Oryzias latipes: one gene and its partner. The protein of the gene in region 1 interacts with the protein of each later gene in a biochemical or structural test. Links are inferred from orthologs where the notes say so. Each region holds a gene or a part of one and is shown on either strand. Other genes may lie near its edges.

Region 1 (10,343 bases):
GTTAATTTGTATTAATGTTAAATTTAACGGACTACTGATAAAATAAGCATTGTCTCCAATGTTGGGGAAACAGTTTACAACTGTTGAAGGGAAACATTCTTTTAATGCAGTGAGGGGAAAACGATGTTTCCAGACTTTTGCTTGCAGAATGAAACCGATAGTATGTAGACAGAAAAAAAAGCTAATCAAACACTGTGCTGTTGTCTAACATGATTTTTTGACAATGGAAATCTGGAGCCATGATTAACATATGGATGTTTTTAATACTGTGTTATTACTTGATGCTTCATTGTGTACATATTTACTTTTACTATAGATCACATGTGTCAAACTCAAGCATAAAAGTTTTTATTTTCTTAAAATAAAATAAAAATTGTTGTGTATTTAGTCATATCTAGGGGAAATCTGACTTAAAATATCGGAATGGGCAACTATACATTAGGACTTAAACACTGTCCATATAAACTAACCTGACAGAATCAAATGTAAAAAGATTTATGGTAGAGTAACAAGCAAACATACGTTTTTATGCAACTGTAATTGTCACTTTAAAAAGTTATAATAAATAAATAATGAGTTATTTAACATTAAGGAGTAGTTACATTTATTTTTCATTACATTTAGTTACATGAATAAGTCACATCTGGCCCTTTGAGGACAACCACTATGCTGATGTGGCCCTCAGTGAAAATGAGTTTGACACGCCTGCTATAGATCTATTTAAATCATGACTTCTGACTCGTTCAACTGCCTTTTTTGAAACTATCTTCACATCATTTCTTCTGTAACGTTTTAATTTCCCACTTTACACTGGGTCAGTAAACGTAACAAAAAATGCCCTCACTTTTAAAACCAGAGCTCCCCCTTGAGTTTTTAGTTTGCCCATGCATCTTTAGACCCAAGATCGCGAGCAGGGAACAGGTGGAGGAGAAGCTAGAGAGGTGGAGGTTTGCCCTGGAAAGGAGAGGAATGAAGGTTATCTGCAGGAAGATGGAGCACATGTGTGTGAATGAGAGGAACCCAAGTGGAAGAGTGAAGTTACAGGGAAAAGAGATAAAGAAGGTGGAGGATTTGAAGTATCTAGAGTCAACAGTCCAGAGGAATGGAGATGTGGAAAAGAAGTGGAGAAGCGAGTGTAGGTGGGTTGGAATGGGTGGAGAAACGTCTCAGGTGTGATGTGAAGAGTTTCAACTAAAATGAAAGTAAAGGTGTAGAAAACTGGTGAGAGTAGTCATGTTGTGGGCTTAGAGACACTGGCAATGAGGAAAATACATGAAGCAGAGCTGGAGGCAGCAGATATGAAGATGCTGAGGTTCTCTTTGGAAGTGACCTGGATAGGATCAGGAATGAGTGCATCAGAGCGACAGCACATGTTAGAGGCTTTGGAGATAAAGTCAGAGAGGCCAGACTGAGATGGCTGGGACATGTCCAGAGGAGAGACAGAATGCCTTTCTTTCGCCAAATGGAAGAGCGTTCAGTGTGTCACCAGTTATTAAGATGACATTTTTAAATAAATTTCAAGTTTTAATAGCTTTTAAATTTGTAGAATTTTTGAGAAGTCACTGTAGTTTTTTTGTTTTCACAAATGAAAAGAAGTAAAGATGGTTTCATGGAGGTATATTTACATTTATGGAATTTGGCTAGAAGAAAAATTAAATTGAGTAAATAGGCCTTCTTGTTTTCAATTAAAAAAACACAACAACCTAAGATAATATGCCTATAACAAAGAAAAACAAAACAAAATAACATAATGAAGAATATATTTTTCCAGCAAGTTTAGTACACCAGTCCAAAATGTTGTGGTACATGAACAGATCTTAAATTATGATATTTTATCATATTCTTCAATCTTTTTATGTTTTATGATGTTTTATCACATAATTTTATCATTTTATTTGCTTAATCTAGAATTTTTATTCTTGTATTTTATGACATTTTATCATATACATATCTGTTTAATCTAGAATTTTACTTGTATACTTTTTTTATGATATTTTAACACATTTATTTTATTAGACTGTTTACGAGTGTTTTCTCACCCTTGGCTGGGGTGTTTGTGTTTTATACTGACACCCCTGCCAATAGGAGGACAGGGCAGACGGCGCCTTCTGGTTTCTCTGGTTTATCTTTATTTATTTATTTATTTATTTATTTATTTATTTTCCACTGATATTTGTCTTTGTGTATTTTATTGTGTGGGGCTAATTTAACGTATCTTATTATATTTTATTGCATTTGATTTTGTTTTTATGTACAGCACCTTGAGCTGTCTTTGAAAGATGCTATATAAATAAAATTAATTTGAATTTGAATTTAAATGAATGTGTAACGGTTTCCAGAAGACTATTTCAAATTGATATCCTTTTGAAATCTGTGGGAGATAAAAAAACATTTAGTGGATAATATTTATATAACCATTCATTCATTGATTCATATTCGAATCTTCTAATTTTATCCTTTCAGGTTCACCGGGCTGCTGGAGCCTATCCGGGCCAATTGCGGGCAAAGGAGGGGACATCCTGGACAGGTTGTCAGTCTGTCACAGGGCCACAATCACACACACATGCACACACACATTCACACCTATGGACAATTTAGAGTTCCCAATGAACCTATGAAGCATGTTTTTTCTGTAGCAAGATTAAAAAAAAATTCAAAACCAGAAATGCTTTTTCATTTTAAAAATGAAGCTGTATTTGTTGACTCAAATTAAAATGAAAACACAATCTGCCAAACCGCTTTTTCTTTTTCAACACAACTCATTCTGTCACTTAATTAAAATGATAATGAAACGGTTTTTGACATTTCCTTTACAAAATGTTCTCTGGTAAATGTGATGCAAAATTCATTTAGAAATGTCTAATTTGACAATTAAAATGGACTAACAGAAATGCTTTTTCATTTTCACAATGTAACTGCATCAAATAACTCAAAATTAAAATGAAACATCAATCTTTCAAAATGCTTTTTCATTTCTACTTTAACATCTGTGACATAATTAAAGCAAAAATGCAAGGAGAGGATTGCATTTTCGTTTTCACATCCACCGTGCGAAAAGTGTCGCAATATTAAATTGAATCCGTTAGTTCAAAAGGGGCCCAAGTCCAAGAGGTTTGTTTTTCCAGGAAATGATTTTAATTGCATAGCTTATAGGGAGGCTACACCAAATGATGAATACTTTACCCAGATTTAGCACAAGTTCATAGCTTACAAATGCTATAATATGAAGCACCTCACTTTTATCATTTTAGAGGACTAGCAAACTAAAGTCTCTGGACTTGGACCCTTCTTGAATTAAACAGGGGTGCTGCCATATTGGATAACTAGTGCTGCCATCTATGGGATAAAGCTAAACCCATCCAAGAGAGGCCCAAGTCCAGGAAAATGCACTTAATGCATTTTAAATGTCAAGCATAGTCAATACATAACAACGGACTTGGGACTTTTTTTTGCACATAATCAGATAGCTTTTCCCTTGAAGACCATAGAAAAAATAAAATCTCTATTTTGAAAAATTGTGGACTTGGGCCCCTCTTGAACTGACCAATTCAATTCTAGTTAGCATTTGCAGGAGGGAGGCGGGGCAAAAAAGAAAAGAAAGAACATTTTGGAGGATTGCTTATTTTAATTTTGAGTCAACAAATGCAGCTGCATTTTCAAAATGAAAAAGCTTTTCTGGTATTGACTTTTATTTTTAATTATGCTACAGAAACACTTCCATAGTGGTACACATGCAAACTCCACGCAGAGACGTCCCCATTGATGTTCTGTTTCAGGACTTGAACCAGGGGCCTTCTTGCTGTCAGGCAAGAGTGCTGACCACTGTGCCACCATGTGCAGTGGATAGTGCTATAAACATTTAAAAGAAATGCATCTTATCTAAGTAGTTTAAAAATATTTATAATGTAATATCCACATTTTTTCCAGGGTGAGCTAGAGATTCTACTGTTCCAAAACAGAAATGATCTGTGGAGAAGAGACAGCAATCCAGCATTTGATGTCTGAGCCTGGAATCTTCATTTGGAGTCTTGTGATGGTCAGAGGGCCCCAGAGGGGCCCCAGAGGGCCCCCAGAGGGACCGCAGAGGGACCGCAGAGGGACCTGCCCCTATAGCGTTTTTGCTCCATGCAGATCGGGTTTTCTGTTTGGTTCGGGTGAGAACGGCAGCTTCTCAGTCCAGTTAGGAAGCCCAAAGTCTGGCTGATGGAATGAAGGAGTGAAGTGGTTCCAACACCTGGACCAGTTTGGTTCCGAGCAAATGGGGGACGTCCCCTTTAAACGTAGCTGCTGACGTCACCGTCTGTGTTCAGAGGCTTTGTTTGCCCGGACGGAGCCGCCGCTGAGAAGACCTGTAGAGAAGAGCGCCGAACCGATTTGCAGCGTCTGACTTAACCGGGCTGGACCTGACACCACGGCGACAAAGATGCCGTCCGACAGGCCTTTCAAGCAGCGGAGGACTTTCGGTAAGAAGAACCGGCCGCTGTGGGCCCCGCCAGCCCGTCCGCCACCGGACTTTCTCAGGGCAGGCCAGGGCCGCCGTGTCCGCGGATGGCCGGCCCGGTTCCGTCGCTGTCGGCAGGACCGGCGCGAGACCTCTGCAGGTTTTCGTGGGTCAGCTGGGTTCTTGTCACTCTGGGCCTGTTCCCGTTCTGCCAGACCTCCGATAGCAGATTAAAAACTGCGAGCCGGACCTCGGTTCCGTCAGTGCTTGACCCGTTTACCGTGGATGCTGCCATGTGACACCGGAAGCTCCTTCTGTTCTTCCAGAGGTCTCGCAGGTCGTGGAGGTTCAGGCGGTGCTTCTCTGTTGGGGGTCAGGGGAACGGTACTGTGGTGGGGGGGCAGCAGAAGGTCACTGACCACCTCAGGACTACTGTACTCTAACAAGGAAACGATCTAAAAGTAATAGATTACTTTAGCTGAGGCCCAACGGGGGCAGCCATTTCAACCAAGAAGCTGCTTATCACGTGTTCCTGCTGTAGAGGATTATTAAAAGATCAATTCTCAAGATGTTTAAATAGAAAACATTCAAAATGAGATAAATTGATATCGTTACCATTTGGATTGAAGTACAGTAGATTTATTTGACTATAAGGTTTAAAGTGACCAAGTGCATCACAGCAGACAACACAACATACATGTGATGTCATCAGCAAAAACTGATGAGTCCATCATTACAGTCCTATGTGTAGAAAATACTTTGAATATAAACATATATAGACAAAGTCATGTCACCATACAGTGTGGTAGAATGTTTTTAAAATGTTCCCTTTGGATCATTTTGATGTGGAAAAACAACAGTGGACTGAACTTTAGGAAACTAAAATGTGAATAGATTGGACATCCATTCTTGTTTACTTGTTTGTTTGTACACATATTTAATTTACACTTGATTATCTTGAAGAAACACAAGGAATCTGGAAAACTTCCCCTACACTGTTCAGAACCTGCAGGTATTTCTCTCTGAGTCACACTGGTGGACGTTTTGGCTAAAGGTGTCCTGGATCCACTTTAAGTCAGTGGATCAGATCCAATTGGATCGCCTAACATGAACCAAAATCCAAATTTAGTCAAATTGGCAACCACAGTCAGCTGTAGCTACTGAGCAATAACAACATTAGAGGACACCTCCATCTCAATGAAAGAGCAGAACCCCCTGCAGAACCAGATCCATGTTACTTGTTAAGGTTGAAACATTTGTTTTCTAGGAATCATTTTTGTGCTCGTGTCATTGTAATGGAAGAAGCTGCTCTCATCATTCCAGCACTCTGTCGTTCTTTAACAACACACACAGACAGCACTCAGCCTCTGGCCTCCATCTTTAATGTGAACAAGTGAAACTGCAGCAGCAGGAAAGGAACCCTTAAGTGAGGTTTGATTTCTGCCGGGGTTCAAAAACAAGAAATGCAGCATTCTAAATGACACCAGGAAACACTAGCTAATTAATCCACATGTACTCAATGTCTATGATAAATGAAAAACTCCAGGAATACAAAAGACAAGGACAGAGGGAACAAGGTGTCAAATTCATTTTGGTTTGGGGGCCGTCTGATCTCATGTGGGCCAGACCAGTAACATAAAGGCAAAATAACAGCTTTGTGGTTTTTTTTCTTAGTTGGAAAAAATGCCTTAACCATAGGAGGCAAATCCCTTATTATTACAGATTCATTGACAGAGGCCAAGGGATCTAAAACAAAATGCATTTCACTTAAAAAAAACATGGTCGATTCAATTTTATACAGACTGAAGCAATCCTGATAATAAACTCAAGAGGGGCTACGGAAAAAAAAGAAACACCTTGCCTAAGATTTAAATGTGTAAATAAAGGAAAAATTAGACTAAATCATACTTGCAAACATATGTGAGCAATTTGGAGTTAACCTCCCTTTCTCTCCTGAAACCATCCATCAATATCAGGATTTAAATCCTGTGCAGCAACACATTTACTGTCATTCAAGTGTGCAAAACACAATGAAATTTCCAAGAGTCTTTTCCTGGTTTGCTGCCAGAATTTTGTGGCAACACCTGCCTTCTTCCTGAGCTTTGATGGGGCGCCATCAGTGACCAGACTGACATCATGTGACCAGTTCACTCCAACATTGTCCAGCACAGTAACTAGAGAGCTGACTATGTCATCAGCTGTTGTTTTGTCCATCAACTCAAGAAACTCTGCTGTGATGGTCTGCTCAACACCTCTAATAAATATGCACAACTTTATTCATCTGTGATGTCGGTGCTTTCATCAACAGTGACTGAAAATACAATAAATGACTAGATTCCTTCATTTGGCCGTCCAAGTCTCCTCGGAGATGTTGTGTAATCGTAATCCTTGACAGACTCATGTTGGCAAAGGTAGACTGCTTTTTGGGGTACAACACTTCTGCATCCTTCATATTTTCCATAAGTTCACAATCCAAAAATGGATTGGATGTTTGCTCCAACTTGTCTGCAATAAGGTGTCTATCACTGCTCTATCACTGACGTCACGGCTGCAGTTAATGCAGACGGTTGTTTTTTCAGTCTAGCTAATAGTTGGTAAATCTTCTCTTTTCTTAACTGCAAATAGTGAAACTTTTTTTATGTTGAGTCTCATAATGGTGCTGAATGTTATATTCGTTGAGCACTGCAACCTTTTGATGGCATACCAAGCATGCAGGTTTTCAGGTTTCAGCTCCATGAACAAATAAAACTCTTTCCATTTTTCCTGGAAAGCTCAGCCCTCCACTTCAACCTTTTTTACTTTTGTTGCTTTGTGATTCTACCCCCTCCCATACGTCTTTATCATCCTCCAACTACTTGAACCCCATTTTCCCCCCTTTCTTTTGTACCCATGTCCCCCATCTCTAACATCCCTCTTCCTCTTTCTCTCCTTTTTTTCCATCCAGTCCAGCAGGAGATGTATGCAAAAATATTTAATGTAAAGTTTAGCTTCATATACAAAATAAGTTTATACAAATATACACCTTGTGTGTTAGAAGATTCCTAACCTCCTATTGTTACAGTAACATCTGTCCAATACAAGAAGCCTTCAGCTCTGATTTGTTTTCTCGCCTTCTGCACAGGACAAGAACAAATTTCATGTGGTTTTAGAAGATGCCCAGTTGCTCCATTACAGCCTTCACATTAGCACTGCAGAACACTCAGGCAGTTAACATACAGAACCTTTCAATGTTTTTCTGGGTCTGGTTTCCCCACAGCTGACCGGTGCAAAGAGGTGCAGCAGATCCGGGAGCAGCACCCAAACAAGATCCCTGTAAGCTGCCTTTAACTTGATCATCACTGCATGCATTGAAGACCAGCTTTTACCATGTGGACATTTCTCTGAGCATGCTAATGCATTAGGAAAGCATGTGGCAGAACTCCTATGTTTCCATGTTTGGTGGGGGAGGGGGGTACCCAACATATAGAAAAGACAGACAAACTTATCTTTGTCTGCAGGTGATCATTGAACGGTATAAGGGGGAGAAACAGCTGCCCATTCTGGACAAGACCAAGTTCCTGGTACCTGACCATGTCAACATGAGTGAGCTGGTAAAAATAATCAGGTTGGTCCCTCGTTTGCTTTCATTAAACTTCAACTTTGGATGACAGAGAGGCTTGTTTAGTCTGCCACTGCAGAAACGTAGCATAAAAAAGGGAACAGAGCAGGAGAGCTGGACCAGAGAAGCGAACAAATGTACAAAAACTGAAAAAGCATGAGACAAAGCACAGGGCCCTGCGGTACACCATCCCTGGCTTGTGTATATTTACAGTATCAAACTGAAAGTTATCGTTTTAATATGGATTCTTTCTAGCTTGGTTTCAGTCATGAAGTAAACCCAACAGTGCTGTGCTACACATCAGTCCATGATTGGGTGTCATTCTAACCTGCAACGGCGAGTAATACACTAAGAGGTTCATTGAGATTTACTCACTAATAGGGCTGCGTGATATGAGGAAAACTTGCGATATGAGAGATTAATATTGCGATAATGATATAATTTGCGGTACATAATCAAATGGCAAAATAACCAAAAACATCATTCCCATTTCATTCCAACAGTTTTAAAATTATATGACCCTCGTCAACATAGGTGACAAACAGCTAACAGAATAGGCCTCCACCTGATTGGTCAACAATATGAAGGCGTACATCCGATTGGTCAAATGCATAAAGGGATTTAATTGATTCTTTAAATGCCTCAAGCTGCCATAAGATTGTTTTAACACATTTAAGGTTTACAATTTATTGTGATTTTTGCAGATTTTTGCCAATTAATGATATGGATATCGCAGAGCTGGGTATTGCGATAACGATAAATTTGCGATGTATCGTGCAGACCTACTCACTTAAAGTACAAAAACCAGAACATGATTTGATAAATGAAACCAAGCTAGTAGAGGTGCAACGCAAGGCACGTTTACCGCTGCCTGTTAAAGGCAGATTTACCTTTTTTAGCGGGTGCAGGTTCCTCTTCTGTCTCTTCATTGGACCGTTTCCCCTTGTCAAAGCAACTTTCTAAAGAAGTTTGTTTTTTGCTCATTTTGGTTGTTTGGGTTTAATTTTAGCGGGGTGTATCATGTGATGTTTGGTGTCGCGACTTTGACGTGCGTGAAATGTGACGGATGTAACAGAGAAAATCCAGTCAATTTTCAAAATAAAACGTTTTTGCGAAAAAAAACAATAAAATGGAAATTATTTTTTCTTTCTGTGCGTCCCGGTGCCAAAATTTCCCGCGGCCCGGTACCGGTCCACGGCCCGGTGGTTGGGGACCACTGATTTACAGCATTGATTATCTTATTTGTTTTCAGATTTGTGAATTTATGGCTGAGGATCTCCTGAAACTGTAAAATAACCTGTAAAGTTTATCTGCTGACATTACGCTAAATCAACAGGCATGTGTGTTGTGTTCATTTTATGTTAAATCTTTCAGTTTCTTATTTTTAAAAACTGCTTTTGTAAGAAAAGAATTTTCATAAAAAAAGCTACTTTCTCTTCATATTTCAACATCAATTGATAAAAATAAGACATGGAGTTGGAGTTCAGACGTTTTATTCTGCCACGGGGTTTTAAACAAAATGGTCGCTACACTAAAAGAAAGAAATGCTAAACCCTGTTTTTATTTCATTTTTGTGGCTTTGCTGCTCCTTCTGAGAGAAACGCGCCAGAATTGTTGAAAACGGCAGAAACCCCTTCGAACAGAACCGATACAAAGTCCACGTCTTCCTCCAAGCACTTAATACAAGACAGAGACACCTGATTAGTTAGAATCTAGACCAATCAGCAGGCTGTTTGATGGCAGCTTTGTCACGCTAAACTGAAACTTATGAGAGCAAAGTCATAAGGAAAAAAGCGAGATGAGACAACGCATGTGAAAACATTTGTGCTGTAAATTCAAAATTATTTTTTGAAAACAAATATTTCATATTTTTTTTGCAACTTAGAACGTTTTGTTTGCAATGTGGTGGCATAAATATCACTTCATATTAACCATGATGCACAGCATTTGCTCACCTGAATCTCCAGGTAACTGGAGATAAAACAGCAGACCAACCAATCTGTAGCCAAGTTTCCATGACACATATGCACAAAACTTTATTGAAATTCTAGAAGAAAAAAATTGGCAATTACACTGTTTCTATTAAACTCTGATTACGTGAAAAATTACAAACCAACTCACGATAAGTTATTCAAAAATGTGGTGATGAATGTGAACAATGCTTTGATTTACAGCAGATACGTTCAGATTTCTGCCACGGCACTAGCGCTCATCATCATCTCTATCAAAGGAGACGTTGGCGTCTTATTCAGACTTTGGAGCGGCGAGCTCCTTAAACGTAGGAGCGGCTACAAATGAAGCCAT
Region 2 (10,380 bases), about 3.6 Mb from region 1:
TTGGATGATAGGTAGGTTAACTTGCTTTTACTATCAACAATGCAGTTTTACTGGTTAAATCGTATAAACATACTAAACGTTTTTAGACCTTTTTAAGCCACTCTAAAACAGAATTTAACAGCCATTTCACAGCCTATTTTAACTGCAAAGATGTCAAGCTCAAACATGTTTTCCTCTACAATGCTTGCAAACATAAATCAAAAATATACCTTTTGAAATAAAGTTTTATGGAAGATGACTATGACCATAAGTGCTAAAATGTGTTTATGTTTGTTTGGTTGTTTTCTCAAGATAACAACCTAAAACTCATTATTGGGAAATGCTCACTGTTTTCCTTAAGATAATGCAACAGATTAAGCTCATCTCGAGATCAAGGCTTAAATAGACTTATCTCAAATAAGAAAAAAAAAAAGAATTTCCTTGGAGATCATTTAATGTTGATTATCTTCTCAATTGATGATAGCTAGTATTAGAATTTGTTTCTGACCAACAAATGTAGCACAATTTAAGTTAGTCCCAGGCTGAAATACTCTGATAATGTTTTGCAACAATAAGAAAGTTAAATGGTGATGATCATATGTTTGCCATTTTGGCTCACACCTGGAGCGTGCTGTTGTTTTTTTTACTGGTCTCTAAAAAAGTGTGTTTTTTAGAGATCATTACTTAATCATTCGTTTTCACGAGAAAACGTGCCATAATTTGTTATCTTACAGGGCCTCTTGCATGCAATTCTGAAGGCTTTTATAATAAACAATATGTGTTATACATAGGGTTGGGCGATGTCCCTTAAATTGGCAGTTGACGATGTTTGCAGTAAACCGTCGGGATGGACGATGATATCGTCGGGGTGGTGTTTTTAATTTTGCGTTATTTTATAATTATTGTTCATTATTTTACTTTACTACTTCATTTATTTTATTTCCCAACTAATGACTAATCCGCGATGATCCAGTATAAACTGAGGGAAGTGGCTTTAACAATAAATAAATAAATAAATAAATAAATAAATAAATAAATAAATAAATAAATAAATAAATAAATAAATAAACAACAAAATAGAAAAGAAGTAGTCCTGTACTTGATTAGGCAAGTGGACCGGTGGAACGAGCACGCGTGTCTCTGAGTAGAGCAGACCGACTTACAACTTTGTGTTTGAGGGAAAGGGAGGATGCTTTGTTACATGTGCGCTATGGGTGGGAGACTTCGGACTGCGATCCGTCCCGCAGCTCTAGGTGAACGAGCCACCGAACTCAGGAGAACCGGGTCTCCCGGTAAATGTGTGTGTCCGGGAAGAGCTCGGACCGTCAGCTCACACAGCTGCTTTGGGGCGGTGTGTGAGCTTTTCAAAGCAGAAATGTCGCTGAGTCCTTAGAAACTGTTCAAACAATCATCTGGATTTGTGTTTCCAGTCGTGTCCCGACAAAATAAAGGCTGATGTTATTCCCACATATTTACGTGCAGCCAAGATGCAGATTGCAGCGCTTCCCGCATGGATTTTATATTCATCAAAGGCTAATGTTGTTAGCCCTTCTTCCAGCTCCGTTCTTCAACAGAAAAAGCACAGAACACACGGGTTAAAAAGAAAATGATGAGCAAACAGGCGCTTCATAATAACCGTAACATTGATAAAAGCACGTTTAGAAGATCATCTAGTATATTGTGGAGCTGCCGGATATCTATGTATGTAGCCTCTCAGCGTAACTCATTTTCTCTTCCGGTATTTCAAACACTACTGAGTATGTGCGAATGATTTATACCAACCGAAAATGTGACCCATGTGAACGTTTGTGATAATTGGAAAAGGTTTTTCTGGGCCCATGTACACAATTAAATTCTAATCCGACCGTTGATCCGATCACTTGGGGGTTACTGCCCCGAGTGCTCCAATTACCACAGGCACCACTGTCACCTTCACTTTCCATGTTTTCTCCAGTTTTTCTCTGAGTCCCTGGTATTTCTCCAGTTTCACATGTTCCTTCTTCCTGATGTTCCCATCGCTTGGCACTGCCATATCCACCACAATGGCTTTCCTCTGTTCTTTATCCACCATTACAATTTCTGGTTGGTTCGCCATTGCTATCCTATCAGTCTGGATCTGGAAGTCCCACAGGATCTTTGCCCTCTCATTCTCTACCACCTTCGGAGGTGTTTCCCATTTTGACTTTGGGGTTTCCAGTTCATATTCTGCACACATGTTCCTGTATATTATTCCAGCCACTTGGTTGTGGTTATCCATGAATGCTTTCCCTGCCAGCATCTTACATCCTGCAGTTATGTGCTGGATTGTTTCAGGCGCCTCTTTTCACAGCCCACACCTTGGGTCTTGTCTGGTGTGGTAGATCTGACCCTCTATTGCTCTGGTGCTCAGGGCTTGTTCCTGAGCTGCCAGGATGAGTGCTTCAGTGCTGTCCTGTAGGCCAGCCCTTTTTAGCCATTGGTAGGACTTCTTGATATCAGTCACTTTAGTTATGGTTCAGTGGTACATCCCATGCAGGGGTTTTTCCCATGAGGATATGTCCTCCAGCACTGCATCCTCTGCTTTCCATTGTCTGAGACATTCAGGTCGTACGCTCAGTGTACGCTCAGTAGCAGGGTCAAAACAGCCGATCAGACCTAAACCTTTGTAAAGATGGATGTGGATATAAAATAAAAGCATATTATTCGGTCACCACTAGCTCCGTGGAGAAAGTGAGTGGGTGTGTTAGCTTGGGGGTGGGCAGTGCAGACTCTTCCTGGAAGGGGCTGTTCTCCCTGGTCAATGTCAGCTCGTGAGAACCTGCTAATTTTTGTAGGTCGGGAGGGGCTGGTGCGCAGACCACAGGTTTTTAGAGGCATACTCAGAAATGCGTGAATGGATCAAAATACTTTTTTGGGGTTTGTTTTTGTGTGGAAGGAACCTTATAATACACTTAAAAGCTATGAAAAATTATTTTGCATGGAAAAGGCCATATTAAAAAATCAGTTGTTGAGCTCAAACCCATTTTTTATCGTAGATGGTTGCTGTTTTCTTCCGTAATTGTTCAGGGATTGATTGCAATTGCAAATGTACGTTTTAACATCTTGCAGGGACTCTGTAACATGCTTTAAGCAGACTCTGTAACATGCATTAAGCAGACTCTGTAACATGCATTTTGCAGACTCTGTAACCTGCATTTTGCAGACTCTGTAACCTGCATTTTGCAAATAGTGATCTGTGAGGTTTAATTGCAACAAAAAAACAAATTAGTATTCCTTATAGGTATTTTCTTACAACAGTAAAATATTTTGTTTTACTGTTGCATCCATATCCAAGACCATTGGTATCATTGTTGATAATGCAGAGAGTCTAACTAGTTCACTAACCACAGTCAAAAGATGTGAACTAGTAATTTTTTTAAACTGTAGACTAGTTCTTCCTATTTAGGCTCACCAGTTTACTAACAAAGCACAAAAACACCAGTGATATTTTTTCTAACATCCATGATTTCTCGTCATGTCCCACTACAAGTAAAATTCAATGCATTATTTCTATGAGTTCAGGATTGAAGATCCTTGTATACCTTACTTTAAACTAGTCCACTTTTGAAAGATAAAAATCCTTCTTGGGAACAAAGGTAAGTTGTTCTTTTCCTAACTGCTTCCCAAGTAGGTCCAAAATGTATTCTAGTCAAGTAACTATAAGTGTATTATTTTCTTTTATTGTAAACATTTACTTATGCAAAAATTTGCACCAAAAAATGTGTTAACAATTAGCTATATTTGATGCACTTGATATCTGGATAAGTAATAAGCTAATTACATGCTGACAATGTCTTACATCATTTTCTAGGAAAGTAAAATTACAAATGCCCATAGCTCACAATAATGCATATATAGCAGTGTTAGTGTACTAGTAAACATTAAAATGTGCACCATATTGCACACTAGCTGACTACGAGATTTTTTTTTCATTTGATAACAAGTAAAATGTAAAAAACATTTACCACAAAAAAATGGGTTTTTGGATCACTTGAAAACTAGTAAATGTATTTGGTCAGAGAGTCTTACACTTGAAGTTTATTTTATTAGGTATACTTTAGTATAAATATTGCAAGTGTTCTATGGATCATGTACATGTAGTGTAGAAAGTACTATCTAAAGATTTCTTCAGATTAAATGTGAAATTTTTAAGTTTACAATAAAGAGATAGCATATAAAAAGTGAACTTCAAGTATCCTGCCTCACTTTTAGTATTGACAAGGTATACTTGTATTTTAAATTAAACAGACTACTTTTCCTAAATGCTAAAGGCAGTTAACCAGTCAAATCCACAGGGGTTTTAATACTGAATTTGTAAAGATTTTGCATGGTAGAGATATATTTTTTCTTTGTTATTGTAAATCACTAGTACTCCAAAATAAGATGAATTATATTATTTCACTTCAGCACAATATTGTACCTTATTAGTACACATTTGTGACTGACTATTTAAATTGACTTTCTGCATTACTGGCAAGGCTGAACATGCTCTTATATCAAGGATATAGATTTATTGTAAAAAAATAAATAAATAAAAAAGTCAACCATAACTGTCAGCCCTATATCAGAAAGGATATAATTTAAATGCAAAGAAGTGTCAACTGCTCCATGTTCAGCAAATAAAAAAGGTGATCGAACAAGGAACGTTGCAGCACACACGTAACCACTCCACCCCTCTCCCCCGGTGCGGGATTCCTTCCATTCCGCGTCTACATGGAATGATTTTTGTCTTTACTGTCCTGCGACCACTTTGGAAAATAATTATATACATACTTAAAAAAATAATCAAATATCTGCTTTAAAAGTTAGAAACTGTGGACGTGCAGCCGTAAAACTTAGTGTGTTATTTTTAATAAATATATCTAAAATCTTTAACCCTAGGAGGAGGAAAGACGGAGTATTCTGCGTGTGGTTTGCATTCATGATCCGCTTCCTTAGAGCCTTTATTTAACCGAAATGAAAAGAAACGGCGCGTACAGGTTTCTGTCCGTGTTCTCCTGTTTCATCGTTTGCGCTTTTTTGTTTTTGTTCTGGTCTTTCGTGTTTTACTCTATGATGCGGGCGCCGTAAAAAGATTAATGCTAAGCTAAAAGGGGGTATGCTACCTTCCCACAATCCTTTGCTCTGTTGACAATTTCCACGATCACATGATCAACTCCACCAGGAAGTAGCCGTTGAGGGTGAGTCTCGTTCAGTAATTCCTTTCTGTCTGGTTTAACTTGTGTTGTGTGTTTGTTCTTGTTGTTACTCGTCCTCCCTTCGGTCTTTTTTTCCCCAGAAGGTTCCTCGTGATTAAAAGTTCAACTTGTTAAAGCGCCGTTTTCTGATTACAGTGGGGCTTCTTTTGAATTGCCAAAATCTACACTAACTAATCCTTTTATTTCCCCTGACTACATGTACATTGTGTTTTAAAATGGTGGTGGAGATACATTAAAATGAAATAAATAAATCTAATAAGGCAAGATGGGTTCTGAGAAATGTCATTGGATCTGCTGGGGCAGCAGAGACAGTGGGATTCTTTCATTTCTTCTTTTTTTTTAATTATTTTTTTGTTCTGTGTTTGTATATATATATATATATATATATATATAAATAAAAATAAATAAAACGCCCCTCTCCAGTTCATCAACTCTTCAGTTCATGAACTGGAAACCCCAAAGTCAAAATGGGAAACACCTCCGAAGGTGGTAGAGAATGAGAGGGCAAAGATCCTGTAGGACTTCCAGATCCAGACTGATAGGATAGTAATGGCGAACCAACCAGACATTGTAGTGGTGGATAAAGAACAGAGGAAAGCCGTTGTGGTGGATGTGGCAGTGCCAAGCGATGGGAACATCAGGAAGAAGGAACATGAGAAACTGGAGAAATAACAGGGACTCAGAGAAAAACTGGAGAAAGCCTGGAAAGTGAAGGTGACAGTGGTGCCTGTGGTAATTGGAGCACTCGGGGCAGTAACCCCCAAGCTGGAGGAGTGGCTACAACAGATACCTGGAAAGACCTCAGACCTCTCAGTCCAGGAAAGCGCAGTGATAGGAACAGCTAAGATACTGCAGGACCCTCAAGCTCCCAGGCCTCTGGTAGAGGACCCGAGCTTGGAGGAGAAACCACCCGCGGAGGGTGAGAGGGGCTTTTTTTTTTTTTTAAATATATATAAATATATATCCACACATTTTTCTTTCCTCACAAAAATTTACTACAAAAAAAACCTTCAGTGTCAATGTGCAAAAAGATTTATACAAAGTAATGTACATGAAACAAAAATATTAAATGAAATATAATTGTTTGCATAATTGTCAACCCGCTTTGAAATTTAAGGGTCTAATTCAATAGAGGTTTATTAAATTAGTGCCAATAGTCTCACAATTAGTGAGTTTTTGGCCATCAGACAAGAAGATTTGTTTGGCGGAAACCAAGTACTGCACATCATCAAAAATACATTATCACCACTGTGAAGCATGGTGGTGGCAGCATCATGCTGTGGGGATTTTGTGTGTATTTTGCAGCACTGTGGGAGTGCTGCAAAATACACTGAAATCTTGGTGGACAATATCTTACGGTCTGCAAGAGGACTACTGCTTGGGAGGAGATTTTTTTTTCAGCAAGACAATGATCCAAATGATACTGCAAAAGCTACACGAGAAGTTTAAAAAGAAAAAGATAAATGTTCTGGAGTGGCGGTTTTGCATAGATGAATGAAGCAGAACTTCAGTGTGCAGATGTACAGGACTGATTGAGACTTATCCACACAGACTCAGTGCTGTGATTGCAGCCAAAGGTGGATGCACTCAATACTGATTTAAATGGGTTGAACAATTATGCAAACTGTTATATTTCATTCATTTTTTTGTTTCATTTACATTACTTTGTAGAAATCTGTTTTCACATTGACTTTGAAGGTTTTTTTCTTGTAAATATTTGTTTGAGGAAAGACAAATTGTATTGACCACGAGTGATTCAACAAATATTCAAGGGGGTGAACACTTTTGCAAGGGACTCTGTAATATATATTCTCCTGTTTTTTCAGACATTTTTCAGCCAAGTTGCACTTTTTTTCACAAGGTACACCACCAACCTGAAATGTTAAAAAACAAAACAAAAAGAAGAATCTCTTTAATCTGTATTCAAAAATACAACTATTCTTATCAAAACGCTGATTTACAAGACGTTTCTCTGCTTATGCAAGTGTTAAGTTCTTTAAAGTAACTTCAGTGAAAATGTCCACATCCTTACTGTAGTTGGGGGAAAAAAATAGAAATAGTTGAGTCCCCCCCCCCCCCCCCCCCAAACTCAATAAATCAAGTAGGACTTCATAAAGTTGAACTTTTATTTGCAATATATTTGTTCATTTTTTAAATGTTAATCATCTCTGTTAGTCTTTCATCATCTTGGGGGATGAAACATGAAATCCATGTTGTCATAATGCTTTTCTTTTTTTACAAACTTGCATTTGATAATGGTTTTTTTAAGTGTTGGGTAATCCAGGACAGCCGGTGTAATTGTTTATGTTTTGAGAAATAAACGATGAATGGCCCAAGGCTAAACACTGGAGGTCTGGGATGTTTCTCCTCTTGATCTGCTGGTAAATTGAAATGTACCAGACTTCCAAGATCACTCTGTCTCCTCAAAGGGTAATTATTTACTGTACTTAATCTAAACAAGACTGTCAGTGAGGCATACGCTTTAATGCTTTAATACAATAAGATGAGATAATTCACTTTTTAAGGGCTGATGATTTTCATTGAAGTTTTTATACTGAAAGCTATTAAAGCCAAGTTGCTTTCAAACAGTATTTAAGTGTTTGGTAGCTCTACACTGAGTTGGTAGGAATAGATACAGTGGGGAAAAAATAATTTTATCAGACACCAATTGTGGATTTTCTTCTATTTAAAAAGATGAGAGAGCCCTGTAATTTTTCATTATAGGTTAACCTCAACTATGAGAGACAAAATGAAAGTGAAAACCCCCCCCCCCAGAAAATCTGATCACATTGTCTGATTTTTAAATAATTTATTTGTAGATTATGGTGGAAATAAGTAAGTATTTGGTCACCTATAAAAAAGCAGGATTTCTGGTTCTCACAGACCTGTAACTTCTTCTGTAAGAGGATCCTCTGTCCTCCACTTGTTACCTGTTTTAATGGCGCCTGTTTGAACTGGTTATCTATATAAAAGACACCTGTCCACAACCTCAAACAGTCACACTACAAACTCCTCTATTGCCAAGACCAAAGAGCTGTCTAAGGACACCAAAATCAAAATGGTTGACCTGCACCAGCCTGGGAAAACTGAATCTGCGATAGTTAAGCAGTTTGGTGTGAATAAATCAACTGTGGGAGCAATTATTCTGAAATGGAAGACATACAAGACCACTGATGATCTCCCTCAATCTGGGGTTCCCTGCAAGAACTCACTCATTGGGTCAAAATGATCACAAGAACAATGAGCAGAAATCCCAGAACCACATGGGGGGACCTAGTGGATGACCTGCAGAGAGCTGGGACCAAAGTGACAAAGGCTGCCATCAGTAACACACTACGCTGCCAGAGACTCAAATCCTGCAGTGCCAGACGTGTCCCCCTGCTAAACCCAGTACATGTGCAGGCCCGTCTAAAGTTTGCTAGAGAGCATTTGGATGATCCAGAAGAGGATTGGGAGAATGTCCTATGGTCAGATGAAACCCAAAAATAAATTTTTGGTAAGAACTCTACTCGTGTTTGGATGAGAAAGAATGCTGAGTTGCAGCTAAAGAACACCTTAACTACTGTAAAGCATGGGGGTGGAAACATCATGCTTTGGGGCTTTTTTTCAGCAAAGGAATCAGGACGACTGATCCATGTAAAGGAAAGAAGGAATGGGGCCATGTATGGTCAGATTTTGGGAGAAAATCTCCTTCCACCACTAAAAGGCATTAAAGATGAAACCTGGCTGGGTCTTTCAGCATGACAAGGATCCCAAACACACTGCCCGAGCATTGAAGGAGTGGCTTTGTACAAAGCATTTCAAGGTCCTGGAGTGACCTAGCCAGTCTCCAGATCTCAAGTCCGTAGAAAATCTTTGGAGGGAGTTAAAGGTTCATGTTTCCCAGTGACAGCCCCAAAACATCACTGCTCTAGAGGAGATCTGCATGGAGGAATAGAAGTTTGTGTTTGGGAAAACCTTGTAAAGACTTATAGAAAATGTTTGACTGTTGTCATTTCCAACAAAGGTTATATAACAAAGTATTGAGTTGAACTTTTGTTATTGACCAAATATTTAATGTTTCACCATAATTTACAAATCAATTATTTAAAAATCCGATAATGGAATTTTCTGGATTTTTGTTGTCATTGTGTCTCTTATAGTTGAGGTAAACCTATGATGAAAATTACAGGTCTCTCATCTTTTTAAGTGGGAGAACTTGCACAATTGGTGGCTGACTAAATACTTTTTTGCCCCACTGTAAATGGCGAGCAATGTATAGAAAATTATCATCCAAAGAAAAAAAACTTAACTTTTCCACTTTTTTGTTATACTTTGTGTTTTCAGAGCTTGTTTCTTTTTTTGCTGAGTGATTGAAGTTACCATGACGTCAGACATCAGTGGAGCGCCACCATCCGCTGCAGATCTCAAGCTGCAGTTTGCACCCTTCAGCAGCGCTTTGGAGGCCGGCTTCTGGCATCAGCTCACTCAAAAGAAACTTAATGACTACAAATTGGATGAAAGCCCTAAATGCATCAAAGGATATTACTATAACGGTGAGTGGCTTGATCAGGTGGTGTCACTATAATAAACCCTTGTAGGTGCAATGGCGGCTTTGAATTATTTCATCTTTATTCATGTAAAATGTTCCACTTTTATTTGACAGGTGACCCTGTTGGCTTACCCACTCGCTTGACTCTGGAGTTCAGCGCGTTTGATGTGTAAGTGCAGCATGCTGTTAACACAAACATGATTGCAAGTAGTTGTTTTACAGTTTACAAGCAAAACATGAAACACAGTTTAAAGCCTATAGTAATAATTCAGTCTTGATAAAGGCCCCCAGCCGTCACACCCTCCTGTGTTTTGTTAGGCGTAAGCTTTTGAGAATAACGTGCATTTAAAATGTCCTTTCTTTTTATTACAATCATATAAAAATACTAAATCTAAAGTATATTTCCAAGCTATCTCGAGGTGTGGATTTCCTAAGGGTTCGCTGTTGTTCCCTTCAGTATATTCAATTCTGATGTGCATCAGATGTACTTTATTATGAAAGGCTGCTGTGAATTCTGTTATTACTTTTTCTTTGAAAAGACTTTTAAGAGCTTTAAATGAGCCTTTAATCATAATCATTCAGATATATTTGGTGGCCACGGTTCCTGAAGTGAAGATGACGGCTTCCCGGGTCATTTTCAACTTTTTTAAAAGG

The links.
Region 2: the proteins of map1lc3a (region 1) and atg7 form a complex in vitro, tested with the Homo sapiens proteins (2 studies listed by BioGRID, with this or other methods). The link is inferred for Oryzias latipes from reciprocal best matches to the Homo sapiens genes MAP1LC3A and ATG7.

What each region holds. Positions count from the first base shown.
Region 1 is NC_019863.2:5,854,829-5,865,171, forward strand, and holds the start of map1lc3a (microtubule-associated proteins 1A/1B light chain 3A), read left to right. Parts: upstream 1-4,289; 5' UTR 4,290-4,423; coding exon 4,424-4,463; intron 4,464-7,697; coding exon 7,698-7,753; intron 7,754-7,938; coding exon 7,939-8,045; intron 8,046-10,343. UniProt on the Homo sapiens protein: Ubiquitin-like modifier involved in formation of autophagosomal vacuoles (autophagosomes). While LC3s are involved in elongation of the phagophore membrane, the GABARAP/GATE-16 subfamily is essential for a later stage in autophagosome maturation.
Region 2 is NC_019863.2:9,480,097-9,490,476, reverse strand, and holds the start of atg7 (ubiquitin-like modifier-activating enzyme ATG7), read left to right. Parts: upstream 1-4,684; 5' UTR 4,685-5,177; intron 5,178-9,521; 5' UTR 9,522-9,558; coding exon 9,559-9,730; intron 9,731-9,840; coding exon 9,841-9,895; intron 9,896-10,380. UniProt on the Homo sapiens protein: E1-like activating enzyme involved in the 2 ubiquitin-like systems required for cytoplasm to vacuole transport (Cvt) and autophagy.